Saccharomyces cerevisiae S288C: one gene and its partner. The protein of the gene in region 1 binds, or shares a complex with, the protein of each later gene. Each region holds a gene or a part of one and is shown in the gene's direction. Other genes may lie near its edges.

Region 1 (3,755 bases):
CTAATGGGCCTATTTTTGTCCAAAGAATCCTCTCTAATGTACATGATATTGGAATCGATAGTGACTCTAATACTTTGATCTCCAGGAATTTGGAAAGCAGTTCTATTATAGGTAGCTCTCAAAACTGGCTGCAACTTCTCCTCAACAATAAAGTTTTGGATGTTATCAAAGTCTCTAGAAAGTTTTTCCAGTTCCTCCTTTTGAGTACCCCTTTCTCTTAGTTGATTAATTAAATAGTTTTTGTAACTGGGATCATTTTTAAAAATAAAATTGTTGATGAATTTGGCTTTCATTTGCAATCTGATTTCTTCAAAACTTGAATTACCAGTTTCGGTATTTTCTGTAAAAGTTCTCTTTTCCAAAAATATGTCAGGTTTGTCTAGCAGTTTACCGATCCATCTTAATCTCAGCGTAGGTGCACCGCTGATTTTCAACAATCTGTTATTGTACAAATCAAAAAAATCGTTGTCGAAATATAATGTAGTGATTGTTGGATCATATGACTGTGGGAAAATAACGCTCTTTGATTTTCCAATTTCAACATCTTGGTTGCTATTACCATCACTAGAAAGGCTGTTACTCTTTGAACCAATATTCAAGCGCGCTTCAGGTTGTACGCGGACATCTGATTCTAGATTATCGACGAAATCGTCATTTTCATTTGGAACCGACGCATAAACCAAAGCAGGTAGATGCCTTAAGATTCTAGCCTTAACCTCCATTATATTATCATCATGAACCCAAAACTTGTAGCTTTTAAAACTTGCGTCTTCAAGGTTAGAAAAATGTGATAATTTAGAAGTACTTGCTAATGATTTAGACACCGTATTTGGATGATCATAATTTGATCTCAAGAACTCGTACAGATATGAGATCCTATACAACAAGGGAGAATACTCTTCTGAATTGTTGAAAGGAAGTTCTTTCAATCTGACTTGTAAAAGAGACTTTACAGAAGGATAGTTTGGATGTAATTTATCGTGTTTCTTCACAATCTTGATAAACCCAGTAAAATTTAACCTGTCAAAGTTATCCAATCTTTGAGCCTCATCTAGACATTCTTCTAAGGTGTTTTTGAACTGCTCAGAATTTATTTTTTGGATTTTTTCAGCTGATTTAGTGTTTTCCTCTAAATCATCTAATTTTCGCAAGACAGCATTATATTTGGAAATTTGAAATGTGTAAACCTTTTCTAGTTCTTTATCCAAGGCCTCCACAAAATCAGATTCATTCCTTTCGGACCAACTATCCACGGAACTACGGCCATCATGTATGACGCTTTCCTTTAGTAATTTCTTCAACCTTTCATAGTCGATATATGAATCCTTCCAGGGAGGATATACGTCGTTAGCCAGTTTAATACCAAATAGCATTTTCAAACTCTGAAAACCAAGGACAAATTCTGCTGTTCGCTCTAATAGCCAAATGACCTATAGTGATAATAAAAAAAGCGCTAAGGAGGTACTACTTGGATTAGATCACTCTTATGCGTATTATTACCCGCCAATGGGCCCTCTCGATATTGAGAAGATGAAGTAAGTTCGAGAAAAGATGTCTGATGTAAGCCGCTCTCTGGCCTCTATTTAAAAGTTCTTCCTGGATGAAACCCACTCGAAAGTTGGGTGTGTGCGTGTGTGTATGTTTCCACGTTTCTGCCTTGTGCTTTCAAAATCGCATGCACGTGCTTGCGACTGCACTGTGTTGTATTAAGCCACGTGGGCCCTCGCACATTGAAAAAAAGAAAAGCTGTACAGGGAAAAATGTGCCAAGAAGTCCAAATACCAATAGCTGTGCAAGTTACTCATTAACATCCAAACCGTGAAGGTCACGGCATATATACTCTGGCGTTCTACTATGTGGCCGGTAATGTAACCGGTAATGGTGACTATCTAATAGTTGGAGTCCGCCGAAAAATCAGAAACGCGTAATTTAGACTTATATAAACAGCTATATACCTTGGAGCTAGTGTGATCTTGTTGATACTAGGTCGGCAAAGAACGCAAATATGGATTTTACGTCTGATACGACGAATTCGCACGACACATCGAATTCGCATTTAAGTCTGGAAGACGCTGTGGGTACACATCATGCTGGTGAAGCAGATGTAAACATTGATGGGGACGAGAAGCAACAACTATCGCTATTAGATGATGATCAGGTACGCGCACTGAAGCTACAGGAGGAGAAGGATGCGCTGTTGACAAGGAGAAATACTCTTTTACAAGAGATCCAGACGTACCAAAATATCTTGATGAAGGAAAATAACAGTAAGACTAAAAATGGTGATATCCTCCAAAACGATATCACACAGGATTTTCTTAATCTAATCTCGATCTCATCCTCTAATCCTAATTCGGCGATAAGTGACCGCAAGCGGGTCGAGAGGATCAATGGGCTAACTAACTTGCAGAAGGAACTAGTAACAAAATACGACACGTTACCTTTGTTAAATATGAATCTACGGCTAAGTTATTTGAGAGACCACACATACCCGCATCTTCAAGTTTCTGTGCAATCAAGAGACAGAGTACATAACGATGGGATTGAAGTTTTGGTGGTCAATTATAAATTCTGCAGAAACACGATGAATCCTTTTGAAATTCAGTTCAAAATGTTCTATAAATTTGAAGATTCCACACTGCTGAAGTGGGAAATCTTGCGAATTTCCACAAACGTTAGACTGAAGGCCAAGCAATTACTGGCAACACGTAACTTCCAGAAGTGTCTATTAAGCCTTTATGAGTTTGATAAGATCAAGTCCAAAAAAACTGGAATTTTCCAAAATTTGATTAATTTATTGAAAAGGAAAACCAGGTGTTATCTAATGAATAATAGTGACTCATTAATTGTGGAAAGAGTTATTAGAGAAGGAAGACTCACGACGATAAAATTGCAGATAAATTTCATCATTACAATGCCCGGTGAGAGAGGCAAACCTCGTAACTGTTTTCTGCCCATGAGTAAAATTTCAATAGCGCTATGGAAGGGGGGAGAAAGATTTAACCAGATAGATTTGGACGAGATATGCTACGGACTTATCAAGGAATATGGTGTGAAAACCGGGTTAAAGGAGATCTGCAACGTTTGCCTATTCCCGGACATGTACGCCAGGTGATGTTCCATTTGCCATTGCCAACTGGACGGCTTGCTTAAACGATTCCGATAAGCTCGGATGAGGGAACGGTACTTTACAGACATCATGGGCGGTAAGGCCAAGCGACACCGCCATCGATGCTTGCGACAGCAATTCATTTGCATCGTCGTTTATCATATGAACGCCTAGTATTTTCATGTCACGAGAATCTATCAGAACTTTAATGAAAGGAGAAACTGTAGTATTCTCTTCCCGTGGTAATAACGTGTTATATCTAACGTTCTGTGAGAACAAAACCCTGCCTTTTTGATATGGGATGCGAGCCTTTGCCAACCCCTCCTCAGTGTATCCGACCCAGCCAATCTGAGGCTGACAGTACAGCACATTTGGTGGGAAGCCACAATTCGAGGTTCCGTCGGAGCCTGTACAGCCTATTGATTGAATGGCCCTTATAGCTTGTTCTTCCGCTTTCAGCGCCAGCATGGGGCCCAATGTAACGTCTCCTATGGGTTTAATATGAGGGTACTTTAGCAGACTTTGGGTTTGTACGTCAACATTTTCTACAAAATCCCGTTCGTCTAGACCAATGCTGGAAATATCTAAACCTTTTAGCAGGGGACGTCTACCAATAGAAACCATCAAGACGTCGCAATGATGTACA
Region 2 (3,592 bases), on another chromosome or scaffold:
CTTTTCAGCGTGCGAGAACCACGTTTTGGCAGTTATTGTTCACCACAGCGTCTCTTGCCTTCCCGATGGGCGTTGTTGTGGCAACACCATCCTCTTTGCTTACTGTAATCGGTAGACGACGTCCGTTCCTTCCTTGGTCTCATGAAGCTCTGGCGTATAAAAACGGCGATTGAATCTTCAATGTTCCTAAAGTTTCATTCCTTATCTCTCATTTTCTTCATTTTTTGTCTCTTGGCTTTTCGATCAAAAAAAGACTATCAATAGATACATTGGTTTCTGACCCCACCTCTGTCCCCTTACACTATCAAATTTCACTTTTTTACTTTTTTTTTTTTTGCAAAAGGCCTTGTCTCGAAACAGAAAGAAAAAAAATTCATTTAAAAAGGGAAATAAAAAATTGCTAATACAAAAACAGATCTTTTTGAGCCACACAACCCCGCGCAACGCACACAATTAGTTATTACAATGGAAGCACATAACCAATTTTTGAAGACTTTCCAAAAAGAACGTCATGATATGAAAGAAGCTGAAAAGGATGAAATCCTTTTGATGGAAAACAGCCGTAGATTCGTGATGTTCCCTATCAAATACCACGAAATCTGGGCTGCTTACAAGAAGGTTGAAGCCTCTTTCTGGACTGCGGAAGAAATCGAATTGGCTAAGGACACTGAAGATTTCCAAAAATTGACTGATGACCAGAAGACCTACATCGGTAACTTGTTAGCCTTGTCCATTTCTTCTGACAACCTTGTCAACAAGTACTTGATCGAAAACTTTTCTGCCCAATTGCAAAACCCTGAAGGTAAGAGTTTCTACGGGTTCCAGATTATGATGGAAAACATCTACTCTGAAGTTTACTCCATGATGGTTGATGCCTTCTTCAAGGACCCTAAGAACATCCCTCTATTCAAGGAAATTGCCAATTTGCCTGAAGTCAAGCATAAGGCTGCTTTCATCGAGAGATGGATTTCCAACGATGACAGCTTGTATGCTGAAAGACTAGTAGCATTTGCTGCAAAGGAAGGTATTTTCCAAGCTGGTAACTATGCTTCTATGTTCTGGTTGACTGACAAAAAGATTATGCCAGGTTTAGCAATGGCCAACAGAAACATCTGTAGAGACAGAGGTGCCTACACTGACTTTTCATGCTTGCTATTTGCCCATTTGAGAACCAAGCCAAACCCCAAGATCATTGAAAAAATCATTACCGAAGCCGTGGAAATTGAAAAGGAATACTACTCAAACTCTTTGCCAGTAGAAAAATTTGGTATGGATTTGAAGAGCATTCACACCTACATAGAATTTGTCGCTGACGGTCTATTACAAGGTTTCGGTAACGAAAAATACTACAACGCCGTCAACCCATTCGAATTCATGGAGGATGTCGCTACCGCTGGTAAGACCACCTTCTTTGAAAAGAAGGTTTCCGACTACCAAAAGGCCAGTGACATGTCTAAGTCCGCTACCCCATCCAAGGAAATTAACTTTGATGATGACTTCTAAGTCAACGACGGGGTGCGTTCTTTTATTCTTGGCCACTTTTATTTATATATATTTATATATACCTAGGTACAGTATAACTAAACTTAAGTAGAAAAATTTAAAAAGAAACTACAGTTTTTTTTTATATTTATTATGACAATATTTGCCATTTTCTTGTAGGTAGATAAGGGAAAGATTCAGAGAGTACCATCATCCCGGTCATTTCATTTAAATAACATATTTTTGTTACCCGGAGAGTCACAATACGGTCCACCCATTTGTTTACTACCTCGAAGTTAATACAGATAGAGGTACATAGCAACAATGGATGAGGTAACTTGCACCCTATGGACGAATAATTCAAGCGATACTAGTGCTACGTATACTGTATGGCAGCTGATAGAGATAATTTTTTACAAAATATTGAAAATGATTCAATTAACAATGGCCAGGCCATGGATCTGTCACCCAACCGAAGTTCCTCTGAAAGCGATAGCAGCATTCTCATGAATGTGAATGATATTAAAACTTTACGTCTGGACGTAGCACCAGAAGCTAAAAGCACCCAATCAAAGAAGTCGCTTTTTTATGAGAACTCTGATGATGCTGAAGAAGGAGAAATAGAAGAGCGCACGAACAAAGAAGAAGGACAATACCATCATAAAGGATCTAAACAACTTCGATTTGAGGTTGGCAAGGAAAGTACAGGTAAATTGCAATCTCATCTATCGGATGGAAGCGCAACAAGTGGAGAGGGCAATGTACGACCTTGGGAATTCAGGAAGGTAATACAAGCTGAGTATAGAGAAAGGTTGCCGCGCAATTATGAATTAAAGCATTGGAAAAAGCCTTCTAAAATAATGATAGGATCCATACTTCGTTTATTAGAGACTAACACTGTAAGCGCTCTTGATTCTGTCTTTGAGAAGTACGAAAAGGAAATGAACCAAATGACGCATGGCGATAATAATGAGGTTAAAAGAATATATTCTAAGAAGGAACGTTTGCTTGAAATAATCCTCACAAAGATAAAGAAGAAGCTAAGACAGGCCAAATTTCCCTCTAGGATATCGGAAAGAGATCTAGACATCGAGTATATTTATTCTAAGCGACAATTTATTCAAAACCGGTATTCACAAGAACTACAAAATAATGAGAGATTGGAAGCAATTCTTTCACGTGAACAAAACCTTTTGGAGGAAACTAGGAAGTTGTGCATGAATTTAAAAACAAACAACAAGAAACGACTCACTGAGAAGCTAATACAAAAAGATCTGCATCCAGTACTTAACAAAGCAATGGAATATACATATGGCTTAGAATCTACTAATGGATTTATGCATCCTGATGGCCCAGTAACTTTTAGAAATGATAGCCACGAATTGAACCTGATGTTGAACGACCCCATAAAAAGTACAGCCGATGTGAGGCTTGATAAGGAGGAAGTACTGTCGTTGTTACCTTCTTTGAAAGAATATACGAAGAAATCAAAGGAACTTAAGGAAACAATGGGTCAAATGATTTCGGATTCACATGAAGAAGAAATCAAAGAGGTTTTTGTACCGCACCATGAGTCGCACCAAGATAAGACCGAAGAAGATATACACTAGCGATAATCCATTGTTTCAGAGTTTACGATTACGATGCATATAACTAAATATTTGATATATAATCATGCACTATTAGCATCCGGGTTACGTAACTTCTCCGCCAACGAGCCTCAGAAAACCTTGGAGAGCCACAACAAATTATGAAAAACTGGAAAAAAAAAAAAATAAAGAAGGAAGGAAAGCTCAATTGGGAGGCACTTTCTTTACTTGAGATTTGCGTTTTTGTAAAGCAGTTCTTAAATCGGCATCTCTCATCGCATAGATCTTTAAGGAAGATATAGGTCATTCACTCGCGTTTTCTTCTATCTTTCTTTTTGTTCTTTCCAGAAGACGTTTCGATTATTTCCGAATTGATCTTGAAGGGGAAGCAATAATTAAATCTTTGAAAATTGATTTGATATAAAAACTGACATCCTCAGTCACGGAAGTAATTAAAGGAGTTCATTACATTGAAACAATATGAAGGGAAACTTTAGGAAAAGAGATAGCTCCACCAACTC

What was found.
Region 2: the proteins of CTF19 (region 1) and OKP1 are in contact, whole or in part, in a cryo-EM structure (PDB 8OVX), measured with the Saccharomyces cerevisiae proteins. Residues at the interface, in NP_015307.1 of Saccharomyces cerevisiae: Glu246 (codon at 2,741), Lys249 (codon at 2,750), Ile250 (codon at 2,753), Lys253 (codon at 2,762), Phe300 (codon at 2,903), Leu316 (codon at 2,951), Pro317 (codon at 2,954), Met318 (codon at 2,957), Ser319 (codon at 2,960), Ile321 (codon at 2,966), Ser322 (codon at 2,969), Ile323 (codon at 2,972), Gln334 (codon at 3,005), Ile335 (codon at 3,008), Asp338 (codon at 3,017), Tyr342 (codon at 3,029), Leu344 (codon at 3,035), Ile345 (codon at 3,038), Lys346 (codon at 3,041), Glu347 (codon at 3,044), Tyr348 (codon at 3,047), Gly349 (codon at 3,050), Val350 (codon at 3,053), Thr352 (codon at 3,059), Glu356 (codon at 3,071), Asn359 (codon at 3,080), Asp365 (codon at 3,098), Met366 (codon at 3,101); in NP_011695.1 of Saccharomyces cerevisiae: Leu296 (codon at 2,757), His297 (codon at 2,760), Pro298 (codon at 2,763), Val299 (codon at 2,766), Leu300 (codon at 2,769), Asn301 (codon at 2,772), Lys302 (codon at 2,775), Gly321 (codon at 2,832), Pro322 (codon at 2,835), Thr324 (codon at 2,841), Phe325 (codon at 2,844), Asp328 (codon at 2,853), His330 (codon at 2,859), Glu331 (codon at 2,862), Leu332 (codon at 2,865), Asn333 (codon at 2,868), Leu334 (codon at 2,871), Met335 (codon at 2,874), Leu336 (codon at 2,877), Asn337 (codon at 2,880), Pro339 (codon at 2,886), Ile340 (codon at 2,889).

The regions. Positions count from the first base shown.
Region 1 is NC_001148.4:515,646-519,400, forward strand, and holds CTF19 (Ctf19p), read left to right. Parts: upstream 1-2,005; coding exon 2,006-3,115; downstream 3,116-3,755. Other genes in the region: VTC3 (vacuolar transporter chaperone), read right to left, coding at 1-1,373; IRC15 (Irc15p), read right to left, coding at 3,089-3,755. UniProt on the Saccharomyces cerevisiae protein: Component of the kinetochore, a multiprotein complex that assembles on centromeric DNA and attaches chromosomes to spindle microtubules, mediating chromosome segregation and sister chromatid segregation during meiosis and mitosis.
Region 2 is NC_001139.9:853,175-856,766, reverse strand, and holds OKP1 (Okp1p), read left to right. Parts: upstream 1-1,871; coding exon 1,872-3,092; downstream 3,093-3,592. Other genes in the region: ribonucleotide-diphosphate reductase subunit RNR4, read left to right, coding at 466-1,503; PBP1 (Pbp1p), read left to right, coding at 3,552-3,592. UniProt on the Saccharomyces cerevisiae protein: Component of the kinetochore, a multiprotein complex that assembles on centromeric DNA and attaches chromosomes to spindle microtubules, mediating chromosome segregation and sister chromatid segregation during meiosis and mitosis.